Tamandua tetradactyla: one gene and its partners. The protein of the gene in region 2 interacts with the protein of the main gene of each other region in a biochemical or structural test. Links are inferred from orthologs where the notes say so. Each region holds a gene or a part of one and is shown on either strand. Other genes may lie near its edges.

Region 1 (7,284 bases), on a different chromosome or scaffold from region 2:
TATACAAATGGCCAGTAAGCACACAGAAAGATGGTCAACATTATTATCATCAGAGAAATGTAAATACAACCACAATGACAAAGCACTTCACATCTATTAGAATAGCTAACAATTGAAAAGACTGACAATATCAAGTGTCAGTGATGCTGTAGAGCAACTGGAACTTTCATACCTTATTATGGAAGTATAAAATGAAACAATCGAAAAGCTTTGAGAGCAGCACACACAGAAGCTAAGGGAAGACAAAGAAGTTCAGAAAGAAAGCCAAAGACAATGCAGCCAGAAACTAAAAACAAAAGAAACCCAAGACAAAAGAACCAGCACATGCCACATGTGAATCCCATGATCACCAGCTTGTCTTAAGGAAGAAGGGATCATCTTGAGGATACCTTGATTTGAACATTTTCACAGCCTGAAAACGGTTAGCTTGTAAACTATTTAATCCACATTGTTAAAAGTCAGCCCATTAAAAAAAAAATTTAAAAAAGTCAGCCCATTTCTGGTCTACTGCATTTCAGAAACTATAGCTAACTAAAAACAGATATCAACACACAAATATCAGCAGTGTTTCCATACATTATAATGAGCAATCTGAGGAGGAAATCAAGAAAAAATTTCCATTAACAATAGCAGTTAAAAGAATCAGATATCTAGGAATAAATTTAACAAAGGATGTAAAGGACCTATAAAACATTGCTCAAGGAAGACCTAAATAAATGGAAGGACATTCCGTGTTCATGGATTGGAAGACTAAATATTGTGAAGAAGTCAATTCTACCCAAACTGATTTACAAATTCAACACAATCTCAATCAAAATTCCAAAACCCAACTTTGCAGAAATGGAAAAGCCAATCATCAAATTTATTTGGAAGGACAAGGGGCCCCAAATAGGCAAAAACATCTTGAGAAGGAAGAACAAAGTTGGAGGACTCATACTTTCTGACTTTAAAGCATATTACAAAGCTACAGTGGTCAAAACAGCATAAAGATAGATATATTGATACCACCATAAAGATAGATATATTGATCAATGGAATCAAATTGAGAGTTCAGAGATAGATCCTCACATCTATGGTCAATTGATTTTTTAGAAGGCTGCCAAATCCACTCAACTGGGACAAATGGTCTATTCAACAAATGGTGCTGGGAGAACTGGATATCCATATTCAAAAGAGTGAAAAAGGATCCCTATCTGACACCTTATAAAAAAAAGTAACTCAAAACGGATTAAAAAAAGCCTAAATAAAAGAACTAGGACATAAAACTCCTAGAAGAAATTGTAGGGAAACATCCTCAAGAGCTTGTGGTAGGAGGTGGTTTCTTAGACTTTACACTCAAAGCACAATCAACAAAAGAAGAAATAGACAAATTGGGCCTCCTCAAAATTAAATACTTTTGTGCTTAAAGGACTTCATCAAGAAAATGAAAAGGCAGCCTACTCAATGGGAAAAAATATTTTGAAATCATATATGTGATATGGGTTTAATAGCTAGAATATATAAAGAAATCCCACCATTCAACAACAAAAAGACAAACATCCCAATTTAAAAAGGGGCAAAAGACTCGTATAGAAAATTTTTCGAAGAGGAACTACAAATGGCTATAAAGCACATGAAAAGATGTTTAATTCACTAGCTATTAGTGAAATGCAAATCAAAATCACAGTGAGATATCAACTATAATGGCCACTATCAAAAACACAGAAAAACACAAGTGTTGGAGAGGATGTGAAGAAATAGGAACACTCATTCACTGCTGGTGAGGATGTTAAATGGTGCAACTGTGGAAGATAGTTTGGCAGTTCCTCAGGAAGCTAAATGTAGAATTGCCAAATAATCTGGAGAGTCTGCTACTTAGGTATATCCTCAAAAGAACTGAAAGCAGAAGAACTAAAACAGACATGTGCACACCTATTTTCACAGCGGTATTATTCATAATTGCCAAAAGATGAAAAGAGCCTGTCCATCACCTGATGAAAAATAAAATGTGGTATATATGTACAATGGAATATTAATCAGCTGTAAGAAGGAATGAAGTCCTGATGCATGAAACAACATGGATGAAGCTTAAAGACATTCTTTTGAGTGAAATAAGCCAGACACAAAAGGACAAATATTGTATGATCTTACTAATATGAACTAATTAAAATGAACCAACTCTAGGAGTTAAAATCTAGAGTATAGGTTACCAGGAGATAGAATTATGGATAGAGATTGGGGAGCCAATGCTTAATTTGTATAGAATTTTTAATAAGGTTGATTGTAAATATTTGGAAATAGATAAAGGAGATGCTGGCACATTACCATGAGTGTAATTAACAGCGCTGAATTATGAGTGTGTTCACAGTCGAAAGGGGAAGTTTAGGATTGTGTATGTCACGAGAAGGAAAGCTAGAGAAAAACCATGGGACTATATAACATACTGAATCGTGTTGTAGACAATGACTGTGGTTAGTTGTACAAATGTAAGAATGGACTCACATGAATTAGAAACAAATGTACTTCACTATTATAAGGTGTTAATAATAGGGTGGTATCTGGGAAAAATACAACTAATTAAAACTATAGACTAGAATTATGTTCTTTCATAAATTGTAGCAAAGGTACTATACCAATAAAAAGTGTCAAAAATGGTGGGGGAGTTATAAGAGGTATGGGATTTTTCATTCTGGAGCAATCAGAATGTTCTTTAATTGATTGTGGTGATGAAGGCACAGCTCTGTGATTACACTGAGTCATTAATTGTACACTTTGGATGAATTGTATGGTGTGTGAATAAAACTGTCTTAAACATTGGGCAACAGTGGCTCAGTGACAGAGTTCTCGCCTGCCATGCCAGAGACCTGGGTTCGATTCCCAGTGCCTGCCCATGTAAAAAAAAAAAAAAAAACTGTTTTAAATATTTTTTTAAATGATAAAGGCTAAAAGTCAGGAGAACATCATCTTTAAAGTACTGAAAAGGAAAAAACTGTCAAACCACAAACCTATGCCCAATGAAAATATCCTATAGTGAACGAAATAAAGATATATTCATAAAAATAAAATTCAAGACAATTTATTACCAGCAAATCTGCCCAACAAAGAAAAAATTTTTGATCAAATTCTTCAGACTAAAGAGAAATGAGACAAATGAGAACTCAGATTTCAGGAAGAAGTGCAATTCCTCAGAAACACGGTAATAATAAAAGATACATTTTCCTCTTCTACTTTTCTAAATACCTGTGACTGTTTACAGCAAAAAAAAAAGTGCATTTAGTAGTTTGTATATATAAATGCAATAATGTAAAAACTATAGCTTGAAAGAGTGATGTTAAACTAACTCTCCAGTTCCAAGATTCTTTTGGGGGGCGGTGGGGGACCGGCCCCGCATGGTCCGGGAATTGATTGCGGATCTCCTGCATAAAAGGCGAGCATTCTACCACTGAACCATCCGTGCACCCTCCAGTGGCAAGATTCGTGCCCAAAAAACAAACAAACAAAAAAACCCACAATCATTTTGGAAAGCAGTCTGGCAGTTTCTTATACACATTACTAGGACCCAGCAACTCCACTCCTAGCTGTTTACCCAAGAGAAATAAAAATGCAAATTGATACAAAAACTTGTAAAGAAGCTTTATTCATAATTGCCAAAACCAAAATCTAAATATCCTTCAAAAAGAGAGAAAAATTCACCTATCCAATCCATCCATCCATCCATCCATCCATCCATCTAATCGTCTTTTAGGACCTGAGGATTTCCCTGCTTGCCCCCAGACTATAAATTGCAGGAGAGCAGGTTCCCTCGTACTCCGTCCCACCTGAAGCAGGTGCGCAAGTTGGGCGAATGAATGAACGCAAGCATACATTTGTAGCCACCATCCCTTCGGCCTTGTATAGTCCCCTCATTCCTTCCACCGACTTCGCTGGCTGGACTAGGCCGGACCCGGTCCGCAGCTGGCTGGGGAAGGGGACCCGGCAGACCCGCCTCGCCCGCGGGCTGAGGAGAGCCCGGCGCCCGAGCAGTGAGCAGTGTGCGCAGCGCGGAGTCCCACCCGGCGGCGGCAAGGTCCGCTGGGACGGACGACGCGGGATGGACCGACAGACTGGTGGACAGCCCCGACAGCCGGACGCACCCGGCCGAGCATCCAGCCCCACCCGGCCCAGGGCGACCCCCCGACCCAGGGCTACGCGCAGCACGGCGGGGCGGGCCGAGGGCGGCGGGGGCGGGACAGGACAGACGAGAATCCCGCGGAGGTGAGGCCGGGGACCGTCCCGCCCCCGAAGGCAGACCCTGAGCCCCGGCCCCGCCCCGGCCGCCGGGGTGGAGGCTCCGGCTCAGAGCTCCGCGCTGCTCCCCACAGCACGCCAACCCGTGCGGGCGTCGCCTTCGGCTTCCAGGGTGAGAGGACCGGGGTGGGATTGCCTTCCGAAATCTTGGGTCCCGGAAATCGGGCGGGGACCGGGATGGGCTCGGCTGCGGGGCCTCCTGACTCAGCCCCCACTCTCAGATTTCGGGGTTTCCCTCCCCGGTTGCGGGCGCGTAACTTCCTCACTCCCGCCCGGACCCCCTCTCGCAGCTGGCTGGGCCCGACTCTGGCCCCGGCGGCCCCAGGCCCCTCTCGCTACCCTAGGTCCCTCCTCCCAGCTTCTGCTCTGTCCCGTCCGGACCTGGCTGGGGGCCCCTCGGTGCCCTAGTTACGGGACAGGGGCGGGGCGGAGGGATTCGGGATGAAGGACTACGGCAGAGGATGGAAGTTAGAGGGGAGTCTGCGGAACTTTGCAGACCCTTGGGCGGTGATTACAGGTTGTGGTCTAGGTGGGTGGAGGAGAGGGCCTGTGGGAGCTGGAGATCCCTGGGTTTGGGATACTTGAGGCAGGCCACCTCCCTGATACCTCCTGGTATTCCTAGGATGATGGCGACCCCGGGGAGCCCATTCTACAGTGGGGGTGACCTGGACTCAAGCCAGTTGCAGATGGAGCCCGATGAGGTGGACACTCTGAGGGAGGGCGAGGACCCAGGTACTCAGGAATGAAGACCTTCAGGGAAAGGAGGGCCAGGGGACTGTGGCTTCCTGGGATCTGCACTCCTCTGCTTTCTTTCCTCCTAGCTGACCGGATGCACCCCTTTCTGGCCATCTATGACCTTCAGCCTCTGAAAATGCACCCCTTGGTGTTTGCCTCTGGAGTCCCTGTCACAGCCCAGGTGGTGGGCACTGAAAGATACACCAGTGGCTCCAAGGTGCCTGGGCTGGTACCAGGGTGGTGGGTAGAGGGAGGGGTGGCCAGAGTGGAGGGCTGGGACCTGACCAGGGCCGGTCGACCCTGTTCCTCACTCCCCCAGGTGGGAACCTGCACTCTATATTCTGTCCGTTTGACTCATGGAAACTTCACCTGGACAACCAAAAAGAAGTTTCGCCATTTCCAGGAGCTGCACCGGGACCTCCTGCGACACAAAGTCTTGATGAGTCTGCTCCCTCTGGCTCGGTGAGAGGGAAGGAGCTGTTTCCTGTGAAGGGCAGGTGCCCCTCACTCTGGCAGCATGGACTACCCCAGCCCTCTTCTCTCCTTTCTTCCTCTTTCACCCCCAGATGCTTTCCTTCCCCTTAACTCTGGCCACTGGTCCCCCTCCGCTAACGTTGATGGCTGGGAAAACTTCCCTGCCCAGCTCTCCATGGTTCTGTGCCAGTATCTCAACTGGGCTGGATGCCCGAAATGCCCTTGGCAGCTTCCCCCCTTCCCTTGTCTCCATTCCCGGGGCAGGGTGGGGGTTGGGGGTGTGCTCCCTTCTGCCAGTCTCTAGGCCTCTTGCCCTCCCCAAAGGTCCCACCTTCAATACTCCAGAGATCCAGGCACCCAGCCTCCCAACTCTTACCTGTCCCTCCCCCATCTCTTCCACAGCTTTGCCGTTGCCTATTCTCCAGCCCGAGAGGCAGCCAACAGGGAGATGCCCTCTTTACCCCGAGTGGGTCCCGAGGGTTCCACCAGACATGCAGCTAGCAAGCAGGTGCGAATGGACACCAGGGCCTCTGGGAAGGTTTGGCATATAAATGGCTCTGGGCCCATCTGTCTTTCTCTCTCCCCTCATCCCCACTCCAGAAATACCTGGAGAATTATCTCAACTGCCTCCTGGCCATGTCTTTCTACCGCAACTACCATGCTATGGTAAGGTTCAAGAGCTGGATGCTTGGGTCCTTTGAGAAGGAGCAGTATAATCAGACCTCCAAGGGAGCAGAGGGCCAGAGTTGCTTGGGGCTGAGAGACTGAAAGTTTGGGGTCTCTTCTCTGAGCCTTTGTTTCCCTCTGCAGACGGAGTTCCTAGAAGTCAGTCAGCTCTCCTTTATTCCAGATCTTGGCTCCAAAGGCCTGTGAGTGTCTGATACCCTTCACCCGGCCATCTGCAAGATCTCTTTAGATCTCTCCCTGACTTGCGAATGGAAAAGACAGTGCGGGACGGGCTGAGGTTCTGGATTCCTCATCAAGCATCTCTTCCTGATTTTCCCCACAGGGAGGGGGTGATCCGGAAGCGCTCAGGGGGCCACCGGGTCCCTGGCCTCACTTGCTGTGGCCGAGACCAAGTTTGTTATCGCTGGTCCAAGAGGTGAGAGCTAGGGTAGAGCAGCCGGGCAGGGTGGGGGGTGGGGGTGAGGAGGGAGATCCTGAAGGCAGGGAGGAACGGTTGGAGCCCTTCCGCTCCAGGTGGCTGGTGGTGAAGGACTCCTTCCTGCTGTACATGTGCCTCGAGACCGGCGCCATCTCGTTTGTTCAACTCTTTGACCCTGGCTTCGAGGTGCAGGTGGGGAAGAGGAGCACAGAGGCACGGTATGGGGTCCGGATCGACACCTCCCACAGGTAAGACTTTTCTGAGGAGAGGAGAGCCAGCCCTAGGGCCCCGAGGGCTGATGAGGGGGAGAGACCTTGAAAAAAGAGGAAGGAATTTCCATCCTCCTTGATCTGGCCATGATTTTGAAACAGGCTGCTTAGCCCAGCTGGATGCCTGGGGCTGCTCTTCGAGTCTGGGGCTAGAGAAAGGGGGTTGAAAATAAGGAGCCCAGGGGAAGGGCTCTTGATATAAAAGAAAAGGAATTCCATTCATTCTGTTATTCTTCATTCAGCAAACCTGAGTGCCTGGTACAGCACCAGGTGCTGGGAACCCAGCTGCAAATGAGGCAAATATATGCCCTGTCACTGTAGAGGTGTGAGTTAGGGATTCAGGGAGCAAGTGGGAAAGAGGTGCTAGCCCCGCTGGGATGGTCTGTGTTGTGGCTGTGGTGTGGTCTCTGGTGTGGAGGGGGAGGACTGGTGGTC
Region 2 (7,166 bases):
ACCCCCCACCCACCCTCACACTCACCATCCTTTACTTTCCAGTAGGAAGGGTTACACACCCAACTCACCATTAGGTCAAAATCTTCTTTTTAAAATGAATGCAGATGATGTGGGAAGCCACATCTATGTCAATGGGGAGCAGATACAGTTCAAAAAAGGTAAGTTCTCATTTAATTTTAAAATCCCAAGAGAAAGGAATGTTCATGTTTCTCTCCCAACTTCCTCTGACACATCAGCATTTTATTCCCTTCTACTTGTAATAATTCTAAAGTGAAAAGGTCAAAGGGGAGAATGCCTGCATTAGGGACAGTGGGAACAGGGGCAGTCAGTGAATAATATGGCAAGCCCCAAATACTGAGGTCTGGTCATTTCCACAGCGAAACGATCACAACCCTCAGGAAGGTGTGTGCAAACAAAGCTTTAGGAGCCTGACCTGTGATTTTAACATAGATTTTAAAACAGATTTTAACACAGATCAAGGTAACAATTAATTTGAAAAATCTAAGAAATGGATTAAACGCACTCAAATCAAATTAACATACTATAATATGAACTTGCAGACTTTTTACCCTGATTAGTCTTACTCCTATGGCCATCTGACTCTGGAGAGCACCTTAACAGCTGATGAGCCATTTAAAAATTTTACAGAAAGCAAAAAAGCCAGGGTGTACCTCCTTTTTCTAAGCCAATCTGCTCTTACATTAATTAGTCTGGTACAGACATTAGCAGCTGAAGATGTCTAAGCACCCCCTTCATATTTTGCAAGAAGTAAAGTGAATACTTAGAACATGTGATTTTTAAAAGCTAGACCAGTAAGGACCACAAAACTAGTTCTATGCTTTCTACTAACTTCCTTTCAGTTGGCAGAATGTAAGCCAGCCATTATCCAAACCACCCATTTTAAATATGTTTGGAAGAGCAATCCTGAACATCAGCAGACACTCCTCACAAGAAACAGCATACTTCTAAGGTTGGGTGATACTAACTTATTTTGACTGAGACGTTCCTGAAGACAACACCCTATGATGCGGCACACCCAGGATTTGGGACCCTACCCCAGGTTCATGGGCAAGACCCACCTATGCCCTCAAATGTGAGGTCACCAGAAAACCTCAATGCTAATAAGACAATACACTTCTACCAATGCGGCCAGATTTGTGATGAGCATTTAAACCATTTAATTCCTCTTAGTTTTCGACCCAGCTAATGCTACAGGTTTCAAGTTCGTACAGTTCTAGCTACTTACAGCAGTATTCCTGAAAACTCAAATTAACTGGTAACACCATACATGCAGTAACACTTTGTTAAATACTAGAAGACATCAAGGCAGAAGGACCGAGTGGTAGCTTACACTCCTTCAGATATACTGCAGGAAACATCAGAACCTCTGATAAAAACAGCAAGCAGAAAAAACTGCTGACCGCCAGTTCTGAAAACACAACTACAAATGACAACTCTCAACATCAGGAGTGACACCAACCACACAGCTCAACAGTAACTTCTGAGACTACCCCAAAGCTTCTGAATTCCTTTCATTTCCTGCTATGAGTTCTTGTGCAATTCTGCTCAGTTCATTTAAACAGCAACTTCCTTTTCCCTTTGATGAAATGGGGAGAGTGCCACCTAGCTCAGAAGTGCTGTTTGAATTAATTACTTAATAGTTTAAATACTTTATAATTAAGCCTTATTAACAAAATTACGTTCTAAATGCCAGAACAACCCGAATTGTGCAACAAGAAAGCATTAAGTCACCTCTGCTAGGAAGACTGCTTAGATCCTATGAACAAATTGTTTTATATGTGGGTTAAAAATTCACCAGCTTGGAAAGAAAGAGTCTTATCTATTCCCAGTGACATTCAAGGAGGAAATCCTGGAATTAAAGTAAGGATAAATCAGTTCTCTAAAGGCCACAGTAGCCTTGAGTGCAGACTTAGAAGGCAGTTCTTTAAGCTTGGTGTTCCTATGAAGTGTTCATAGACCCGAATTATATCTTCAGACGGAACTCTGGGTTTCTCTTGAAGTCCACAGACTTCAAGACCCAAGCATTCAATCAGGAAATACAAGGGAACGCAGCTGCCCTCAAGCAGCTCCAATCAGGCCATTCCTCCCCTCCCCCAGCAGCACCCAGGCCAACTCCAGATCCGACTCCCACTTTCAGAGCAAACAGGAACTGGAGTCAGGAGGCCTGGGTTCAAACCCTAGATTTGTGACCTTGACCGAGTCACGGAGCTGTTCCGAGCCTCGGTTTCTTGATCCTGGGAGTGAGATTTGCAAAATTCCCTTTTCAGAGGTTTGCACCCGAGGGTGCTTGGAGGAAGCTCACTAAACGTTCACCCGCCCTGTGGGAGACACCCCCTACTTCGAACCCTACGTACCCCGCTTCCTCCTCCGCCCTCCCACAGCCAAATGACTCAAAGGCTCCGGCTCGGGCTTCCTTTCCCTTCGCCAGTTACCGACAGTGACTCCCGCCCGAACGAGCAGTTCTGAACAGAGGAGAAAGCAAACCTTTCGGCTGCGCAAGTGGAGAGGGCTCGAAAGGAGCAGGAAATGAAGGCTTTTTAAAGGAAAAGCCCACATCCCTAGGAGGCCAAGAGCGAAAGCCCGGATTTCCGGATTTCGGGACCAGCGAGGGAGAGGCCGCTACGGCTGCGGGCGAAGACGCTCTGCTGCCTTTAGCAGGATGTGAGGCCAGCGAGGGAGACTCAGGAGGCCCCGACGAGCCCTCCGCGCCAGCCCCGGCTCCGCGCCGCCCGCCCAGTGGCCTCAGCCTTGCCACCTCCCGTCCCGCCGCCGCCGCCGCCGCCGCGGGTGGACAGGGACTCACGCACGAGCCCCAGGGCCAGCCCAGCTGCTCGCGCGCCCTCCCGCCGCACTGCCCCTCACCCCTCGGCGGCCGCGGCGGCTGCTGCTGTTGCTGGTGCTGCTGCTCCGAGCCAGGCGTTGGTTTCGCTCCCACAAGATGGCGGCTCTGACGGCGGCCACGTCAGTGCCTGGTGCCGCGGGTGACGCCGGGTAATTGGGGGCGGGGATATGGTATGCCCCGCCCATTCCCCCGCTCGCGGCGCGCATGCGTAACTCAGGGGGCGGGGTCGAGGGTGCGTCGCCACGCCCCGTGTCCTGCGTGCTCCGCCTCCCCCCCCGCGCGGACCTACACCCGGGGGCGCTCCGTCTGCATTTCCCTTGAAGGTTCGGTGCTGAGGCCGCGCGGCGCATTTACGGATGTGGACCTCGGGGCCGAGGTGCCATAGCGCGCCCCCTCCTCCGACCCGGGTCGGTCGCCGTCCGGTAGCCGGGATTCCGGGCTCATCTCCGCGCCGCGGCTCTTTCTCCGCCCTCTTCAGGGTCCGGGCGCCCGTGGCGGGCCGGAGACAAGGCCGCGCGGTCGTGGAGCCAGGCCGGGTATTGTGGAAACCGTTGCCACCAACAGGTGGCCACAAGCGGGAAAGGGGGTTTCCAGGGCGCCCGCAGGTTCCAGCACTGGGCGCCTACTTGCCCCTCCCCGGCCTTTGTGCCCACGGTACAGCCGGTGACCGCAACAGACATGTGCCTGCACCCTGGAGCTGACAGTATGATAAAAACGTAAATGATTTACTGAGTCAGGGGATACAGGGTTCCGAGCGTGGAATAGTGACGGCCAGGGTTCCTCTACTGGGGTGTGGCCTTGGAACTGTGATCCGTGTGACAGGAGAGGGCACGATGTGTGAAGGTGGGGAAAGGAGGAGCCTTTTCCGAGAAGCCTCCCTGGGCTGATCCAGAGGGAAGAGGGGACGAGAGCGGGCTCTCCCCCGCGTTTCCAAGGCATGAGGGCTTGGCTCTGTTCCTCCCTTTGGAAACTCACTTGGGCCTCTCGCCTATCCCCAGTGCTCCTTACTTGTTTTTGTACTGCCTGGGCTCTCTCCTCCTGCCACCCTGTGCTGTTGTGAGATGTATCTCCCATTCCGGAGGTTTTGGTGAAATTACTGGGAGAGCTTTGCAGCCCCGTGCCCAAGTGTTCAAAGAGGCAGAAAACGGGGTCATCATTTGTGCCCTGCTGCAATCACCTCTATTCAAGCAGCAGGCCAGGGGCCTGCCTGGAAGAGGCATCAAAGCCAGGCCCTGAGGGTTTCACAGGGCCTGGCAGGAGGCTTCCCAACCCTCTGTGCACTCATTGCACGCCCACTCCTCTTGGGCAGGGCCAGGACCCACTGACTGTGGGATGATGACATCGCACCAGCCCTGCCCTGAGGCTGCACCTGCCGGGCTGTGATCACCTCAGAGAGTGATGACCCTGTGCCTTCCTGTCCCCACTAAGAATCTTACTCCTGGGACCAAGACAACCCAAACGCTCGACGCTGGTGAACAGGCCTCTGCCCGTCCTGCCCTCCAGCCCAGTTGTAACCCCCAGATCTGGTCATTTCTAAGAACCAAACTCAGGCCACACCTCTGCCCCTGCCCCCACATCTCCCCCTGCAGTCACCTCCATCCCACTGCTACGTTTAGGAGTCTCTGTCCCACCCCCAGATACCCCACAGTGCTCATGCAGAGCGTCCCATAGGGATGTGAGTCTCCAGGGAGGGGTGTGGAGGGCCATAGTACCTTCTGGTGATGTGAACTCCCCACTCCCAGGGAGCAGGTCCCTGACCAGACGCCTCTCTGATTACAACCCCTTTAGAGCTAAGGAAACCACAGAAGAGAGTGGAGAGGAGACAGTGGAGGGTCCAGCGACCCTGGTTGTGGACGAAGGCTCTCCTCCCCTTTCTTTAAAATGGCAAAAAAAAATTTTTGTGTGGAAACTGTCATACACAGGAAGGAAGCGAGTTATTTAAAAAATAAAATGAATTCCTGTGGACCCACCCCAGGGTAAGAAATTTAATTCCTCCTGAGTCTATCCTACTAGTTTTGTCCCCCTAGGGTAAGGGTGTCTTTGGGCCAGAGAGGTAGTAAAGAAGCCCCGGGAAGTGGGCCTTAGAGGGGTGCCCGCCCAGCTTAGGCCAGGAGGGGGCGCATAGTCTCAGGCCAGCTGGGGCCATGTGAGATGACAGGAGGGTGAGGCTTGGAGGTGGAGGGCAAACCCCACATTCCACCATGAGGCTGGGAATCCCCCAGCTCCGGTCTTCATCTTCAACCCAACCACTGGCCAGGGACTTGCTGGGACCCAGGATTGGACTCTTCCCCTCGGGGATGCTCGAATGACCAGGGTCAAACAGGAAAATGTCCTGGGAAAGGTGGGCTGGAAGGACAAGACAGAACCGGCCTGAACGGAAGAGTGGCTTCCCCATGCAGTGACACCAAGCTGGTGGGCCAGGTTAGCTGGAGGGAGGTGGGAAGAGGAGGTGATCCTATCTATACTAAAGGACCCTAGCCCTAACCTAGGGATGGACATAAGTCCTGCAAGCTCGCCATGCAAGCTCTTGTGTGTGGATCCAGGCTCAGGGAGGTCAGGAAACACACCCAAGGTCACACGGTTAATATTTAGCCCCACCCTTCAACATGACCCCTAGTCTTGTGCAGCCCCCACCTTTGCCCTTTCCACTGCCCTCCACCCCGACAGCCTCTGGAAGGGGGAGCTCAGAGGTCATTGACTTCAGTGCTGCTGCAGGCTGAAACTACTTGAACTGCTCACTGCTGTCCAAGGTAACCAGCCAGTGGTCATCTGCCCACTCTGCCTCCTTCTGGGGAGTCAGGAGGAGATGGGGGCTGGAGTAGGGGGCCAAATGACTGGCGAGCTGGACTTCAGTCTTTTCCAAGAGCCCGACACCCACACCATGTCTCCAACCCACTCCAAGATGGCCCTGTCCTTCCTGGGTCCTGGGGCCAGCCCTGCCTGTACCCTCACTGGCTTGTGCCATGTGGGGAGCTTGGGTCATGAGAGGAGATGGGTTTCCCTACGGAGAACACAGTAGCTAAAAGGCTCATGAGGACCACTGTCCAGTTCCAGGAGATGGGAGAGAACTGATTCAGGGGACCACTCTCACCTCCAGTCCCTTTTAGCATCACCTGATTCCCCCTAACAAACAAGTCTGCTCCTGTCTCGATTCCCCCATCAGGGAAAGTGCTTGGGACCAGACCCCAAAGCCAGGGTCACTCTGGCCTGCCCTTATGTTCATCCCTAGGGCTCCAAGGTGAATGCCCAGTGCAACCCATGGTCTCCTCACTCCTGGTCCAGCTCATGGACCCCTTTCAATTCCCAGGAACAGGCCAGGGCCTCTCCTGCCTCTGGGCCTTTGCATTTGCTGTTCCCTCTGCCTGGGATGCTGTTCCAGGGTAGAACCCCTGCAGACTCCTGCAGTGGGCCTTCACCAGGCAAGGTGGCGTCCTTGATGGTGTCTGCAGGGGTCTCCACATGCCTCTCTTCTGCTTTGTCGCTGCTTTTCCCTGGAATGCCCACTGCAGGTGGCAAGGACTTGTGTCTGCTCCATTTTTGGCCACTCCCGAGGCAGCTCAGGGACCACGAACTTGAGTGGGGAAGAGCACATCGTTCTTTCACTAACCTCTGGCTGACATTTGGCATTTCCTCCCACTTCCAATGGAGGCACCACACAAAAACAGGAGGGTAAGCAGGACCTGTGATTTGCAACGGGTAGAAACCTCAGGTATTTTCATGTCACATTAGAGCTGTTGCAAGAATCTCAAAATATTGTTTATGCTCTTCACTAAGCTGAAATTAAGGAGGCTGTCAGCCTGTTGCCAGCTCTCCTTATTGAAGGTGTCAGTGACAAAGACTTTATTACTAGATCAGATTTCCCCCCTTTCTCCACAAGGCTTTAGTTTTTCTTTCTGTTTTGTTACCGCTTTGCCGAGATATAATTGTAAGACAATAAGCCGGTACATAGTTAGAGAGTACAATTTGATAAGTTTTGATCTGTGTGAACACACCTCCATCAAGATATTGAAAAATCTGTCACCCCCAAAAGTTATTATACCACAAAGCTTAAAGCTTTTGCTAACTGTACTGGGTTTTTTTGTTTTTTTGTTTTTGTAATAAAGGGTATTTATTTTATGCATTAATAAAAGCTCAGGGGTAAGTAAATAAAAGTAAAAGGGTCCCCAGGCTTCACTGGACTGCTGGAGTGGTCCCTGGCTGGGGTCTCCCGGCTCTGGCTCTTGACAGAGAAGCCACAGAGGGGAGGTTGGGGACCTCAGCAGACAGGCTGCTGCTGCATTTGGACATCCGGAGAAGCCACAGA
Region 3 (6,951 bases), on a different chromosome or scaffold from region 2:
TGGAAGCAGTCTGGGTCTCCCAGGCCAGGGGGCAATGCAATTATTAAGAATGAAATGCAACTGCTGATGTTTATTTTGCTTAAGTATCATATACTATGACTGCACAATTTATAAAAAACTATCTTTTCAGTGGTAAAGTTTCCCAGTAATTGATTATGGGGTTGTATATACAACTATGTGATGATACCATGAGCCAGTGAACATAAACTTCAGATGCTTTGTGTGGTGTGTGAATATATCTCAATAAAACTGCATTTAAAAAAAATGCAGATTGACCGCTAAACTGGATTTCATGCCTAAACGGGTTGCATAGAGACCTGGCCTGAAACCCTTCAAATCAATGGAAGTCCCTGTGCAGTCTACATCTCCCCCCACAGCACTGAGACTTCCTGGCTGTGCCATGGCTATGCCAGTGTCGTGCGCCAGGTGTGAGAGGCCAGGTGTGCTGGAAGCACGGCAGGTTGGTCCTCTGTGGGGTCACCTTTCTCCTGAGAGATGGAGATGGCGGCTGAGCAGCCAGCACAGAAGGGCAAGGCAGGGAGCCTGGACATCACCAGACTGCCATCAGCTCAGAGAGACTCAGAGGACCGCAACACAGTTCAGGCTGAGAAGAAGAGCTATTTATCTCTTCACAGACCTAAGAGTTTTAGGAAAGTTAACTTCAACTTGTGTCCCATTTGAATTCGTGAGCAGGAAAATCAGAAAAATGACAGATTTAAAGCCAGAAAGAAGGGAGAGGGGGTGCAGTGTGCCGGGTGTAAGCTAACTGCCCAAATCCTGCGTAAGCCATGGCTGACCCGGCTGGAGAAGATCTGAGCAGGAGACAGGGACCTGGGTGAGGCTCCTAGACCCTACCAGCCTGAAGCTGCATGGACGCCTCTTGTCTGAGTGTGGAACCTGTGGCCTGCTCCCTCTGACTCATGCTGCATGCAGCACACACTCTGTGAGCGCATCCAGGTGATGGAGACCTTGCACACATGCGCTGCAGAGGATGCCTCCATGTCGTCTCCTTGCTGCTTCACTCTTACACTCAAGATGACTGTTGGCAGCTGGCTTTTCTATTAACAGTGTATAGTTGGAGCGTTATGTGGAGGCACAGCTTGAAAACACAGAAGACTCGCCATCCTGTGTTTCCTTTCTACTCTTAGTTGTCAGAATGGGGGCACTGACTCACGGGAATCAGACTGCTGCACACGACCAAACCTTACAAATCTGGACACTCTCGGCCCTTGATGTCCATTAGCGTACACTCAAACTATTTGAATTTAGGATTAAACACTTGTTTTCCATAATTGACCAAAACAAAATCAAAAGTTTCCTCAGGGCTCCTCTCCACCTTGCCCCTCTCCATGTTGTTCTGATGGTCTACTGAGCTCAGAAGTGCGTGAGGACAGTGAGGACAGACATTCAAAGGCACCGTGATGCCTGCCAGCTGCACCACTGGGCCCGAGTCTCACACAGTGCCATCGCCACACTGAGCAGCTACTCACGTACAGCACCAAAGGTGCAAACGGGCAAGCACAGTGGGAGAGGAGCCCCCATGTACCCTTGTCTCCCACAGCCACCCAGGAGCCCTTGTGGGGCCATCCGGGGCTGGAGGCCCACGTGCCCACAGAGAAACCAGGACCCATCAAGATGAGGTGGCTGCATAGACTGGACCAGCCCAGGGCTCCAGTATGAGACCAGCGCTCTTTCCAAAGCACCAGTCTTTGCCTTCAGGCAAGCAAGTGGTTTTCAGAACAGTCAAACCCATGGTGAAAAATGCTCTGAATTTCCAGTTGTGTTTACAAGGCAGAGAAGAACTACTGGTTGATTTAAAAGGAGCTCTTCTATGTGACCAAACTTTGATATTTCAGAGCCTTTTAGCTTTCTTCTGAATTAACTTTAATAACATGGAAATAAAATCTGCCTAACTTTCTAAATCTAAACATGAGTTTATCCTGAAATATAATCTAAGAACTCATTTTAACACTTAAAACCAAGAATGTAAAAATATGTTCTGATACACTCAAAGTCTCAATGTCTAAGAACAACAGATCTTTCTCATTCTAAGGAACAGATTATTTCTGAACTGCCTGGGATATAGTCACAGAAAGCTAAGAGGTACATATCCTCTGGCACATTATTAGAGCCCCATTCTCAATGCCACAATAAACAGCGTGGCAAGGAATGTTAGGTCTGCATTAAATGAGCAGAATCAGGAGTCTGTCCTTAAACTGTTTAACTCAAGATTCACGAAGCATAGTTACTTCAAACCCACAGAAACTAAAAAAAAATAAACACCTCAGATTCTTCTTCCTCCCCCAAGGTGATCACCCACATGAGAGGGTAAGGAGGAGAACATCACAGACACCAAGCTGAAGCGGCCATTCCTGATTAAAGTGGCCTTCTTGGTACCTTACTTCTTGGCTTGACCAGCAACCAGCCCATTGAGGACTTGAGATGGGGCCCGACTGGATTCCGTGTCCAGGCCAGGTCCGGGGTCCCCAGGAACCAAGAAAGGGGCAGACCCGGCCCACCGGTTCTCACTCCACGGAGGGGGTGGGGGTGGGCAGGGGTCCCCGGAACTAGCGGAAGACATCAGACCCTGGAGGGGAAGCAAGCTCGGGGAGGGTGTGTGTGGAAGGCCGGAGGCGTGCCGAGCGGTGGGGATAGGGACCCGGGTGGGGGCGGCCTGGCAGAAAGCGTCCGCGGGAGGGTCGGAGGAGGGAGTCCCCGTAGGCAACAGGCCGGGAGGTAGGGGGCCGGAGGGGCCCGCAGCCTCAGAGCCAGAAGGAGGCAGACCCGGGGCGAGCGCGGGGCGGGGGCTCGGGAAGGGGGAGGATGCGAGGGGGTCCCCGTGGGCAAGGGGTCGGCGGTCTGAGGCACGCGCTTACCAGGCGGGTGGACCGCACCACCGGATCGATCCCTGCGGGCTCGGGCCGGGTGAAGGTCGAGCCGGGTGGAGGTCGCGCCGTGCCGCGGAGCTGCACCGACGCCGCGCGCCTCTTGCCCACCCGGCCGCCACCCGCTTCCGGCTACGTTGCGCTTCGCAAGGCTTCACGGAACACCGGAGGCGGGCCGGCCGGAGGCGGGACTTCCGCCTCGGTGCCAACGATGCCGGAAGTCTCTGCCGGTCCCCATGGCGACGCGCATCTACCCCGCGGGCGTGGGCCTAGCGCTGGCCCTGGGCAGGTTCCGAGTCTGACAGGCGGGCATGGGGAGACTGGGAAGTGGCCTGCGCTGGACCGAGCCCTGGACCCGGGCCGGGACTCAGGTGTTCTACGTCTGGGCATCGTTTCATGTTTCCTTTCACTCAGCAGCTGATAAACTCCAACCTCCAGCCGGATGCCACAAGGCTGGTTTCAAAGACTGTTGTGCAGATCAGAACTGAGCCATTGAATAGTTTATTCCAGGGGAAAAGGCCCAACAAGAGGGTAGTAGTTAGAGCAATAGAGGTTCGCCAGGAATACCAGCCATTTAAAAATGGCTGACGTGGAAAGATGTACTTAGTGCATGTCAGAATCTGAACGGGAAACCGATGGCTCGCTCAAATTAGGATAATTCAAGGCCGCGTTGTATAAAGGTGTGAGTGGGCTTAAGGAAGCTGCAAGGAATTGTGCACATGGGGCAGCAAAATGTTAGTCTCTCCAGGTTCCAGAGGCTAGGGGAGGGAGAGGGTGGGCGCCTCAGAGATGTGCTCATTGGTTGAGGTCCACAGCCAGCCCAAGGTGACCTAGCAGGGCAAAACCAGGAGAGTAAATGTGCTGGCCTCTCTCTTTCCTCCCACCCTCTGATCTCCTGCTGGGCATCCTATTGGCTGACCCCAACAGAAAGTCACAGGACATGGGAGCCCACTGGGACAGTCTAATGTGGGGAAAGACAGGGAGTGGTTCTGGATTGGTAGCTGGAAGGGATGCAGCAAGCATAATGTATAATATGGGTTTTTCAAGTAGGCTACAAAGTAGTATGAATGGTCGGAGCCCAGACATGTGAAAGTATGCCTATTGAGAGACAACTATTTAAAATTATTATCTGGGGATGGGACAGCGTAATTGCAAGTTATTTTTAGCTTTGTTTTTAATCTTTGGTTTCTTGTTTTGTCTGCATTTTCTTCATTAATCTATGTAACTTTTGAAGTGATCAAGTAACATGTTTATTGAAGTATAATTTACAGATAAGTAAAATGTTCAGCTACATGAGTTTTGACAAATGCGTATTCCCATGTAACCATCACCACAATGAATTATAGAACCCTTTCATTAATCACCCTGCAGGGGCAACCAGCACAAGACCCCATATCTTAGAGTTTGTGTTGTTCTAGAACTTCATATAAATGGAATTGTGCCATGTGTTCTTTTTCATGATGGCTTCTTTCACTTAACATTATTTTGTAAATCCATGTTCTTAAGCTTTTGCTTCATCCTGCCTTCCTCCCTGGTACATTTTTGCAGCTTCAATTTCTCTATTTTTCTCCTGATTCTAACTACAAGATCCTTGAAGAACTTTTTGAAGAATCAACCATATTCCTTCCCATTTTAATGGTGTATAATTTTTTCCCTGCTGCTTTTTCTCTTCAGAAAATAAAACAGCAAGTATGGTTAACAATATAGAAGACTACAGTAAAATTCTAGATCATGTAGCCTGAAGATGAAAGAAATTTTAAAATATGTACATTAAACATATTTGTGAATTGTACAGAAAATCCTGTTTGCTGGATAAGTACACCATTCCTTTCTATAAAAACCATCAATTCGGCTGATGTTAGGTTTGAGAAAAGTAAATCAAGCTTTCTGGCAGACATATTTCTTCCCTTATTAAAAGCATCAGTATCAGTTTATTTTTCTATAGAAATTTTTAGGTTTTGAATGTTTTCTCTCTTCATGTATTTGCTCAGGCTCTCTCACTCCAATTTTCTCTCTTGCTCCAGGAAGTGAATAATTATAATCTGTTGTGATGTCAGGTATCATCCTTTCAGGCCTTTTCTGGCCCCTGAAGACACACTGGAGACTGGAAGTGGCCCCGACCAGCAGGCAGTTCGCATCTCTCAGCACTTCTGGGGCATGGGGGTGAGGATGTGGTGAAGTCTCTTCTCCATGTCAATCCCTCCACATGTTCCAAAGCCTATAGTCATAGAGAGGCGTCTGTCAAGACGGGAGCATGTGCATAGCCTCCAATGTGGTCCCCTATCCTATGCAGGCCCAACTGGCGGGCGGTTACAGTGTGCTTGATGGGGCAGGAGCAACATCGGCGTGGCTGACCTGGAGCACCACGGCACTGAAAGGGACCTGACATGGTGTCAGACCATGGAAAGGATATCCTGATCTTGAATTTGGGGGCTGCAGCTGGCCAAGGAACCCCAGTACTGCCAAGTCAAGAAGAACTCTGTCATGTAATTCTCTGTTTCATGGAGTTTTTCTAAATGCAAACCCTGATTCAACACACATCAGTTTGTATCCAGTAAACACAACTGGACTCTCTTCTTCTTCATTAGCAAATTCAAAGTTTTCTGCTTCTGGAAGCTGGAAACTCTATTTCTGACTTTGCACTTGCTTTCTGTGTACAAGTGTCAATGTCATCCACATAGCTGGGGATGAGGCTGGGCATGTGTCTGCTCTGGGCAGAACTGAACTGAATGACATGGCTGGGAGACAGCAATTAAATGAGATCAATGAGGAGTGAAAGCCCATTGTCTGTCACCTATCCACGATGTTGATGATTAGAGGAGATTCTTTTAAGAGCTGAACACATATTTTATGTTATCAATATAATTTTCAGAGTTTTCTTTACAAGCAGGTTTCCTAAAATATACCATGTTCTGTGGTGTTCTCTGGTGGGTGAAAGGGTCCCAGAATTGGTTCTGTAACATTAAGTGGAAAAATGCAACCAGTAGGGTAAATTCTGTCTGCCCAAGGTCACAGTCCATATAGTCAACACAGGAAATGCTGTCTAACAACAGGCTGAACAGATATCTGTAAGATGTTGACTTCCCAAGGTCCTGAACCCCACACACCAGAATGACAAGACAGCCATCCACTTCTTCACAAGAAGCACTGCCGAACTCTTCCACTGCAGAAATAACACTCACATAAATGAATGCCATTTTTTCTTCTACTTCTCCCAATGCCGACAGACCTCATGAATAAATAGCAGTAATTGGGGGGGGGGCTGGATTCTCTTGTAAGAAAATAGGAGATAAACTTGGATGGCTGAGTATGTAGGTGAGGTTTTAGCATCACCATAGAATACAGAGGAGAAAAATGCTTCATCAACTGACATCCATCACCCCAGTTAACAAGCTTGAAGCAAAGCTCGGGCTTCCCTTTGCACCTTCTGGCTTTTCTCAGGCATCAAGTAATGAGACAGTGGGTGTAGGTGGAGGAAACTTTGCAGGCAGCTGGCCTGGCTAAGAGTAAAACTAAGCACCTGTGCACGGCCACCCGGGCAGTCACACCACACAGCCCACCAAAACCCGAGAGTGCTGGAGCGGCAGCAGGACTGGTGGAGCGACGATGCATCATGGAGGGAACTCCGAGGCCGGGACTGGGCGGGGATTGGCGGTCTTGGGTCCTCCGGCAGAGGTCACGTGTTGCAAACCCGCCGCCCGCCACACCATCACAGTGCACCCTCCCCAGCGGCTGAGGACAAGTTGAGGCCGTGCCTTGCAGGCAGCTTCGCCAGCAGCCTCCCTGCATCCCTCCATGGTGCGGAGAGCTGCCCTGGGGGCCTAACTTCCCAGCCCTCCCAGCTTGTCCTGTGGCGGGCTGAGCCCTCTGGAGGGTGTTGCTGGCCCTTGCAGCAAGAAGCCGTTGGCACACACTGGAATGGAGGCTGAGGCAATGTGGCCAGGTGGCCAGGCATGTCCACACAGTAAGATTTCAGTTTGAGTCCAGTGGTTGATGCTGTGTAGGCTTCACATGTTTAGAGAGTGGGAGCCATGGGCTGGAGCAGTCCTGGTGGGCTTCCTGGAGG
Region 4 (6,883 bases), on a different chromosome or scaffold from region 2:
GGCCCCCAGCCCCTCCTCTCTGACCCAGTTAGGGGAGGAGCCAGGCCCCCAGCCCTTCCTCCCTCAGACCCTGGAGCCCGGGCTCCCACCTGTGGACTGGAAAACCCCAGGGTTGCACAGGCAGTATCTCTGGGCGAAGGCCTCCATCATCCGGTCGATTTTCTGGGCCTCTCCAGGGAGGCGGAAGCTCCATAGAAACTGCCTGTAAGAGGAGGGGCCGGGTATGGATGGCGGGCTGGCAGGACCCCCTCCCCCACGGTCAGTACCTGTGTTTGGAACTGGCCAATAAGAACTCCAAATCTCTCCTGGACTCAACAGTTGTTTCAAGGATAGATATGTGATTATCTGACTAATGAGCACCACCTCTGAGAATTTTGAAGGACTTATATAGCAACTGCTTCTATTTTTCTGCTGAGGTTGCTCTGTAGGTCTAATGGTTGCTAGAAACTTCTGTTTTCATGTGGGAGGAGGGTCTGCAGAGAGCAGTGCCAACACAGTGGGAAGCATAACCAGGAGCTAAAGTTAACTTCCTGACCCTCTGAGCACCTTAAGTAGTCATTACATGAGTAATTAATTTGCAACTCAGAAAGTCCCAATAGATGCACACCTGCCCTCCCAACCCCTCGCCCTCACCTAAGGGCTTGTACCAGATTGAGGTCGGTGAATTCATGCAGATCCACAAAGGCGTGGAGCACCGCCAGGTTCAGCTCTTCCCTAGGAGGACAGGGACAGATTTACAAACAGAAAGGAGTTTGGGGAGGTTGGTGTGGGAGGAGACCTGAAGCAAAGCCCTGGGAGATAGTGGCTGCTTCCAAACAGTGTGGGCAGTGTCTGCCCGGCCCCCATTGCAGACCTGGCACCAGGGGGCTGGGGGTGGGGGCAGTGCTCAGCACATGCTCATGGCAGGGTCATGGGCTGAGAACCCTAGTTTGACTGCATGAGGGCAGGAGCTGGGGGCATGGGGGACAGGGAGGACCCGCAGGTGCTCTCACCTCTCCCCCAGGTAGTCCCCAATGGCCGTCTTGTTCAGTCCCTCGCCTTTGTACAAGAAGCGGGCGATCTCCTCGGGTGTATTCTGCAGAAGTTCATTCTCCACCAAGAACTGGATGCCCTGAAAGGTAGGAGCTGGGTCTCAGGGCTGGGGCTAGACCACCCTGGTGGTGGTGGAGCCCACCTGCCCATTGTTAACACCCCCAGGAACCCCTTCCCCCTCCCCCAAACAGGGAAGGGCCAGGTTTCCCCTTCAGGCTCCTCCCAGTCCTTCCATCACCTCCCTGCCCTCGTGGCCTTTGCATCTGCTATTCCCTCTGCCTTTGCTGGTTAATTCCAGCACTAAAACCAGGGCCAAGCGAAAAAACCAGATACCCAATACATGCTTCTTGAATGACTGGGACAAACTACAATTGTTTTCGGCAAGAATAATAAAGGGAAAACTGCTAGCAGACAGTTAAGGGTTCTGAAGGCCAGGCCCCAGGCTGGGCTGGGGCTTCTCTGGCCCTTCCTGCACCATGAGGATCTCCATTCTCGTGATCCACTGCTCTGGGTGTGGGTGCTGTGTCAAGAGCTTCCTGAGGGTCAGGCAGAGTCTAACAACTGGGGAGATCTCTGACACCGCCTAGGGCAGAGACAGCCCATAGGAGGCCTTGAGATATGGGTGCTGAATGAATGATGGACTGAAGCAACATTCTTCCTTCACCCCACGAACATTTAACCATCAGTCAAAACTGCCTGGAATGTCACTTCCTCAGGGAAGCCCTCCCTAACTCTACCAGGCTCCCTTCTTGTGTCTGCAGCTCTGGTACTTCCCTCTGTCACAGTACTGGTTAACCCTTTGTGCATGGTCCTGTCCATGTTCCCTACCAGACTCAAGCTCCTCTCAGGATCTAAGGTGATACCAAAAGTGGGTTCAGAAATATGAATAGAAAGGAGAAAAGGCCCTTATAGGCAGGGATACAACCCAAGCAAAGGCAAGGAGGCTGGACCATTTGGTTACGGTTTACAGAATAAACAAACGAACAAATGAATACGTGAATCCAGGGATTAGGATCCAGTGTGTAACCACCCACAGTAAACCTGTCTGTAACCATCACACTTCCACAGGCTGGTGCCAGAACCCCCAAATGGATCCCAGCTCCCAAGGTCCCAAAGCACCTTCTTAGGGTCCATATTGAACTTCTTCCTGCCCATTGCCATCTTCCGGTTCCGCTGCAAGGTCTTACTGCAGGGGCAGAGGGTAGGGGGTGGCGGGTCAGTACCTGGGCAGTTCTAGCCCAGGCCCCCACAGCCCCAGTCCCAGCCCTCACCTGCCCTCATTGGCCTCCAGACCCTCCACCTCGCTCATGGCTTCGCTAAGCTCTTCCCGCAGGCGCTGGATCTCCACCAACAGCTCCTGCTTCCGCCGTCGGATGTTCTCCAGCTCCATCCGTTCCTCTGGAGTCAGGTCTGGGGGTTCTACAGGCAGAAGTCAAGGGCAGAGATCAGGTCTCGGGGCTCCAGGACCTGGATTCTTACAATCTGGGGGAAGGATGGAGCTCGGGGCAGGCAGGACTCCCTAGGTCCTGGGGGAGAATACGAATGAGGGTGCTGACTCCTGTGTCTGAGGAAAGGCAGGCTGGGAGGCTGGGATGCCTGGTGTCTGAAGGAGGAAGGGGCTGGAGGCTGAGTTCTTCCATCTAGGGAAGGAAGTGCTGGGGAAGGAGAGGACTCCGGGCTCCTGGGTCTGAGAGAGAGGGGGACCGGGAGCCCGAACTTCCAGGTCCATTACTTGGGAGGGGGCTGAGGCCTTGGTTTTCTGACTCCATTACTGGCGAAGTGGCGGGGGCCCGGGCTCTCCGGTCCTGAGCGAAGATGGGGCCGGGCAGCCGGACTCCCGGGTCCATGGGAATAGCTAAGGCGGGGCCAGCTGGTGACAGGCTGTAGGGGTTGGGACCGGGGGGCGGGGCATTGGGGGTCCCCGCCCCCGCCTCCGCGGGCCCTGCGAAGCCCCGAAGGTTCCTCCCCGCCCCGCTCCCGGCAGGCACCGGGCTCGACCGGCCTCGCCTCCCCGCTCCATCCCGCCCCCTCCCGCCGCCACCGGAAACAGGCTCAGCCCAAACAATGGCCTGGAAGGCTTCGCTCTCGGGCTTCGCCGGAAGCCCGTCCCGCACTCCACAAAAGCGGGGCGACGACGGGGCCGCGCAGTTGGGGCGGCGCACGCCGGACGGGGGCTGTGGGGGACACCCGCCGCGGAACGCTTGGGACCAGACGCCCCATCCGCTCCCGGCCGGCCCCGCCCCTCCCCGACCTACCATAGACACCGTCCTCCATGGCGGCTAGGAAGGCCCGCGGGGAGTCCGGGGCGGTGCCGCCGGTCGGACCGGGATCCTCGTTGGCCCGCGGGCTCGGGTGAGCCCGCTCAAACGCCCCGGGAGCCACCGCCGCCTCCTCAGCGCCAGTCCTCAGCGCTGAAAAGACTCTCCCTTCGCCTCCCAACCGCCCCGCCGGTAGGGACCGCCCCTCGTTTTGACACTGTCCAATCCACGGCGTGGCCTCTCGTTTGCCCCGCCCCCGACACCGAAGGACCGTCCTCCAGCACCAATGGGCGCATGAGGAGCTGAGATAGGAATGTCGGGCTGGGGGTAGACGGTCGGTGGGGCCAATCGGAGCGCGGTCAGGGCGCCAGGCCCCGCCTCCGGAGCAAAAGAATGCTCTTTGCAGGAGTGCCCACCAATGAGAAGCCTTGGAAATGAGTTGCATGGAGGTGGTAATGTGCGGGAACCTAGAGAAGTGCGCCTGCGCTCGGGCTCTGGACACAAGACTTGTTCAACCATGCCCCGCCTCTAGTAATGAATTGTTGGTGGGGGGGTGGTTGGGGTGGTACTTTTGTTAGGTCTGTTGCCAAGGGGTGGGGCCACAGCTGTCGGTTGTTCCTTTGAGCCACACCTCCTAGCAGACTAGGCTTGCTTTTGACCTCAGCGGTTGCCATGCAACCGGGTGCCGCTTGGCTCACCTTCCTTATGGCCTTTCTCCTCTCAGGCCCCTCCTCTTTCCACACCCTCTTTATTTATTTATTTATTTTACGCCCTCCTGCGTAGTCATCAGCTCTTTCTCCTAAATGCTCTGCTATTGGGGATCTGTCCTGGAGACTGAGACAATAGGAGGCTACAGGCTGCGCCTTCCTGGCCCCTTCTGCTCCTCAGGCTCTCCCCCTCTCCCCTCCCCTCAATGCTCCATGCGTCCTCTTAAACTCCTCCCCCCCCAGTTTAGCATCCTCCTCCAAACCCTTCCCCTTAGCATCCTCCCCCGTAAGAAAACACCCCTTTTCTCAGCATCCTTCCTCCCTCCGAGTCCTTTCCTTCCTCTGAGACGGTTCCACCTCCCTTCCCCAGCCTCTCCTTCCCATACCTTGCTGGGAAAGCCGGTGCAACGTCCGGGCCCGGTGGGGAAGCTGAGCCCTGCTGAACTGGGGCTGAGGTGCTGTCTGAGCATCGCCCTCATTGGTCGCCCCTGGGCTGGGCAAGTGGGGTCGGATTCAGGGCCAGGGCTTGGTTAAGCTGTCGGATTAGACACGGAGCCTCTTAATCCCTTCGCTGACCTTTCTGAGAGGCTCAGACCTTGCCCCCCCACACCCCCAGTGGAGACCCCGGTCGTACCAGCCCTGCCCCCTTCTCTCTTTCCCAACAGACACACCCCCTCCCTTCACTACCATCTTAATACCCTTGCCCACCTCTGTGTTTCCGTTGTGCCCCTCCCTACCTCAGACACGCTGGGCTGGGAGAGAGCAGCCCACTAATTAATCCCATCCGGTTATTACCGAAGGATGAGAGGGGGTTGGGGAGGCCAGAAGTTGGGGCCTGGGTTGAGGCAACACGTAAGCAGGCTGACAGGCAATGACAGTGCCTGTCTTCAGTCCTGGGACACAGGGGTGCGAGGTGCCCTTCTCACTGGCCCTGGCTCCCTCTGTGGCTGGCTCCAAGCCTCCGGGGCACTCAGGTAGATGGGAACATGGGCAGAAGGGCAAGCCTGAGGACCCGTGCCCCGGAAACATTCACAGACACACCCACCAAGTCTCCCAGTTCTTTAATCTGAGGGACAGATCTCCCCCTAAAACACAGGCTTCCCCCACAGTGGGAAGAGCGCTGGCATCAGAGCTACCCCTTTCTCCTTCCCCAGCCCCTCCCCACCCAGCAAGCTGGACCGGGGAAGTGTTGATTTTGGCCCTGGACCACAGCCCACATCATACCCCTCGCCTGCCGTCTGCCCTGTGACTTAGATACCAAGTTCAGAGCCAGTCTCCATGAGTATCTCCCATCTCAGCGTTCCAGGGCTGGGGAGACTCTCACCCCCACCACAACCTTCAGTAAGATGAGAAGCCATCCTGCTGGAAGGGTCCTTGGAGAATGTCAAGTTTCAATGCCCTGTTTTACAGATGGGGAAACTGATGTGGAGGGGAGTTATTTGCCCTAGGTCACACAGTAAGTTGGTGCTAAGTTGAGATTTACAGCAAAGCCTCCCAGATCCTTGTAAGGACTCGGTTCCAATTAGCTCATGCTCAATTTCTAACCTTGTTGTAGGAATGAGGGGAAATATATATCATATATATATATAATACATATATGTATAACATCTTTAAGAAATAGATATACATCACTAGGTGTAGGTTTCCAGAGCTTTCTAGACTCAACAGCCTTGTGTCTCCCCCTTCCCTTACTCGTTAATCAGCCCTGCTACCTACAAGGTTTCACCTGGGCTCTCATCTTCTTGGACAGCCCAGAAATTCTGCTTAGCAATTCCTGGGCCCACCTCCAAGAACTACCAAGCACTCCATCTGGAGGTGATCAGAATTTCTAGGCCTCTGGTAATGGGCAACTCCAGATCCCTGAAGCCTCGATTCCTTTTGGCATTACAGAACCACAAAGAAGTTTGCTCTATCAGTTAACAATCTAGAATCATTGAGATTCTCAATACCACTGGGCAAACCAGAACCAGTATATCAAAATCACCACTCCTTCCTTGACTGTGTGATCAATAGGACCTGCAGAATCCACATTCCTTTGGGCAATCTAGAATGATACTTTAAAAACAAACTCTGAGTCATTCCGAAGCAGTGATTATCCTTTTGGTTGGATGTTGGCCAGTCAGTGGTTTGGAGTTTAACTAATATCAAAAACTGCCAATCTATCATTTCAGTACTTCCAGACCCACAGACTCTCCATTGCTTTGTGCATTTTAGAAACATAACTCTTGAATTTCTGGAGTGGTTTGACTCTCTAGGTCAAACCTGGTTGTGAATCACCAGTGCTTCCCTCTCTGATCAAGCTAGACTCACAGAATCTCATCTCTTGGGCTTTCTGGAACCACAGGTCTTGACTTACAGTCCAGATATTCAGTCATTGTCTCTCATCACTCAAGACAGTCTTGACTACTTGGGGCATTCCATAGCCTTCTCTCCTTGGGTGCTGGAGAACACATGATTTGGTTGAGTCTAGAAACAACAGTTCCTTGAGTTTTAGGTCAATTCAGACCTACAAACTCTTGTTCCCTGTTGCTGTTTGAGAACTGTTAAGTTCCTCCCCCAGAGGTAGTCAATACCACTGATTCTTGACTGTTCAACAACCTGGGACAGCCAGCCAGAGGAATCTAGAACTACTAGTCTTTGCCTCTTGAGTGGTCCAGAATTCTGGATTCCTCTGATCTGTTGAGACTCAGGCTCATAAAGGAGTCTCAGATGGAAGCATGGAACACAGAGGGATGAAGGTCCAGTATATCCATGATGAATCCACCAGGCATGGCAGGGTCTACCTAGATAATAATTTACCCAAGGGGCTGTCGGCCTTGGGGAACCATCTGCCCCCATCCCAGAACAGAGCACCATCTCTCCATCTCGTTGCCTCTGAGAAGGGGG

The links.
Region 1: the proteins of ARF1 (region 2) and PLD2 form a complex in vitro, tested with the Homo sapiens proteins (2 studies listed by BioGRID). The link is inferred for Tamandua tetradactyla from reciprocal best matches to the Homo sapiens genes ARF1 and PLD2.
Region 3: the proteins of ARF1 (region 2) and ARFGAP1 form a complex in vitro, tested with the Homo sapiens proteins (2 studies listed by BioGRID, with this or other methods). The link is inferred for Tamandua tetradactyla from reciprocal best matches to the Homo sapiens genes ARF1 and ARFGAP1.
Region 4: the proteins of ARF1 (region 2) and CYTH2 are reported together in a solved structure, tested with the Homo sapiens proteins (3 studies listed by BioGRID and IntAct, with this or other methods). The link is inferred for Tamandua tetradactyla from reciprocal best matches to the Homo sapiens genes ARF1 and CYTH2.

What each region holds. Positions count from the first base shown.
Region 1 is NC_135332.1:60,581,463-60,588,746, reverse strand, and holds the start of PLD2 (phospholipase D2), read left to right. Parts: upstream 1-4,281; 5' UTR 4,282-4,378; intron 4,379-4,888; 5' UTR 4,889-4,889; coding exon 4,890-4,998; intron 4,999-5,087; coding exon 5,088-5,218; intron 5,219-5,320; coding exon 5,321-5,463; intron 5,464-5,877; coding exon 5,878-5,983; intron 5,984-6,075; coding exon 6,076-6,141; intron 6,142-6,285; coding exon 6,286-6,344; intron 6,345-6,484; coding exon 6,485-6,577; intron 6,578-6,675; coding exon 6,676-6,828; intron 6,829-7,284.
Region 2 is NC_135346.1:63,009,830-63,016,995, forward strand, and holds the start of ARF1 (ADP-ribosylation factor 1), read right to left. Parts: upstream 3,016-7,166; 5' UTR 2,884-3,015; intron 2,698-2,883; exon of another isoform or gene 2,506-2,697; intron 1-2,505. UniProt on the Homo sapiens protein: Small GTPase involved in protein trafficking between different compartments. Modulates vesicle budding and uncoating within the Golgi complex. In its GTP-bound form, triggers the recruitment of coatomer proteins to the Golgi membrane.
Region 3 is NC_135327.1:60,781,269-60,788,219, reverse strand, and holds the start of ARFGAP1 (ADP-ribosylation factor GTPase-activating protein 1), read right to left. Parts: upstream 3,023-6,951; 5' UTR 2,877-3,022; intron 2,592-2,876; exon of another isoform or gene 2,284-2,591; intron 1-2,283. UniProt on the Homo sapiens protein: GTPase-activating protein (GAP) for the ADP ribosylation factor 1 (ARF1). Involved in membrane trafficking and /or vesicle transport.
Region 4 is NC_135342.1:12,587,075-12,593,957, forward strand, and holds the start of CYTH2 (cytohesin-2), read right to left. Parts: upstream 3,006-6,883; 5' UTR 2,880-3,005; coding exon 2,765-2,879; intron 2,452-2,764; coding exon 2,304-2,451; intron 2,219-2,303; coding exon 2,152-2,218; intron 1,112-2,151; coding exon 993-1,111; intron 715-992; coding exon 634-714; intron 203-633; coding exon 90-202; intron 1-89. UniProt on the Homo sapiens protein: Acts as a guanine-nucleotide exchange factor (GEF). Promotes guanine-nucleotide exchange on ARF1, ARF3 and ARF6. Activates ARF factors through replacement of GDP with GTP.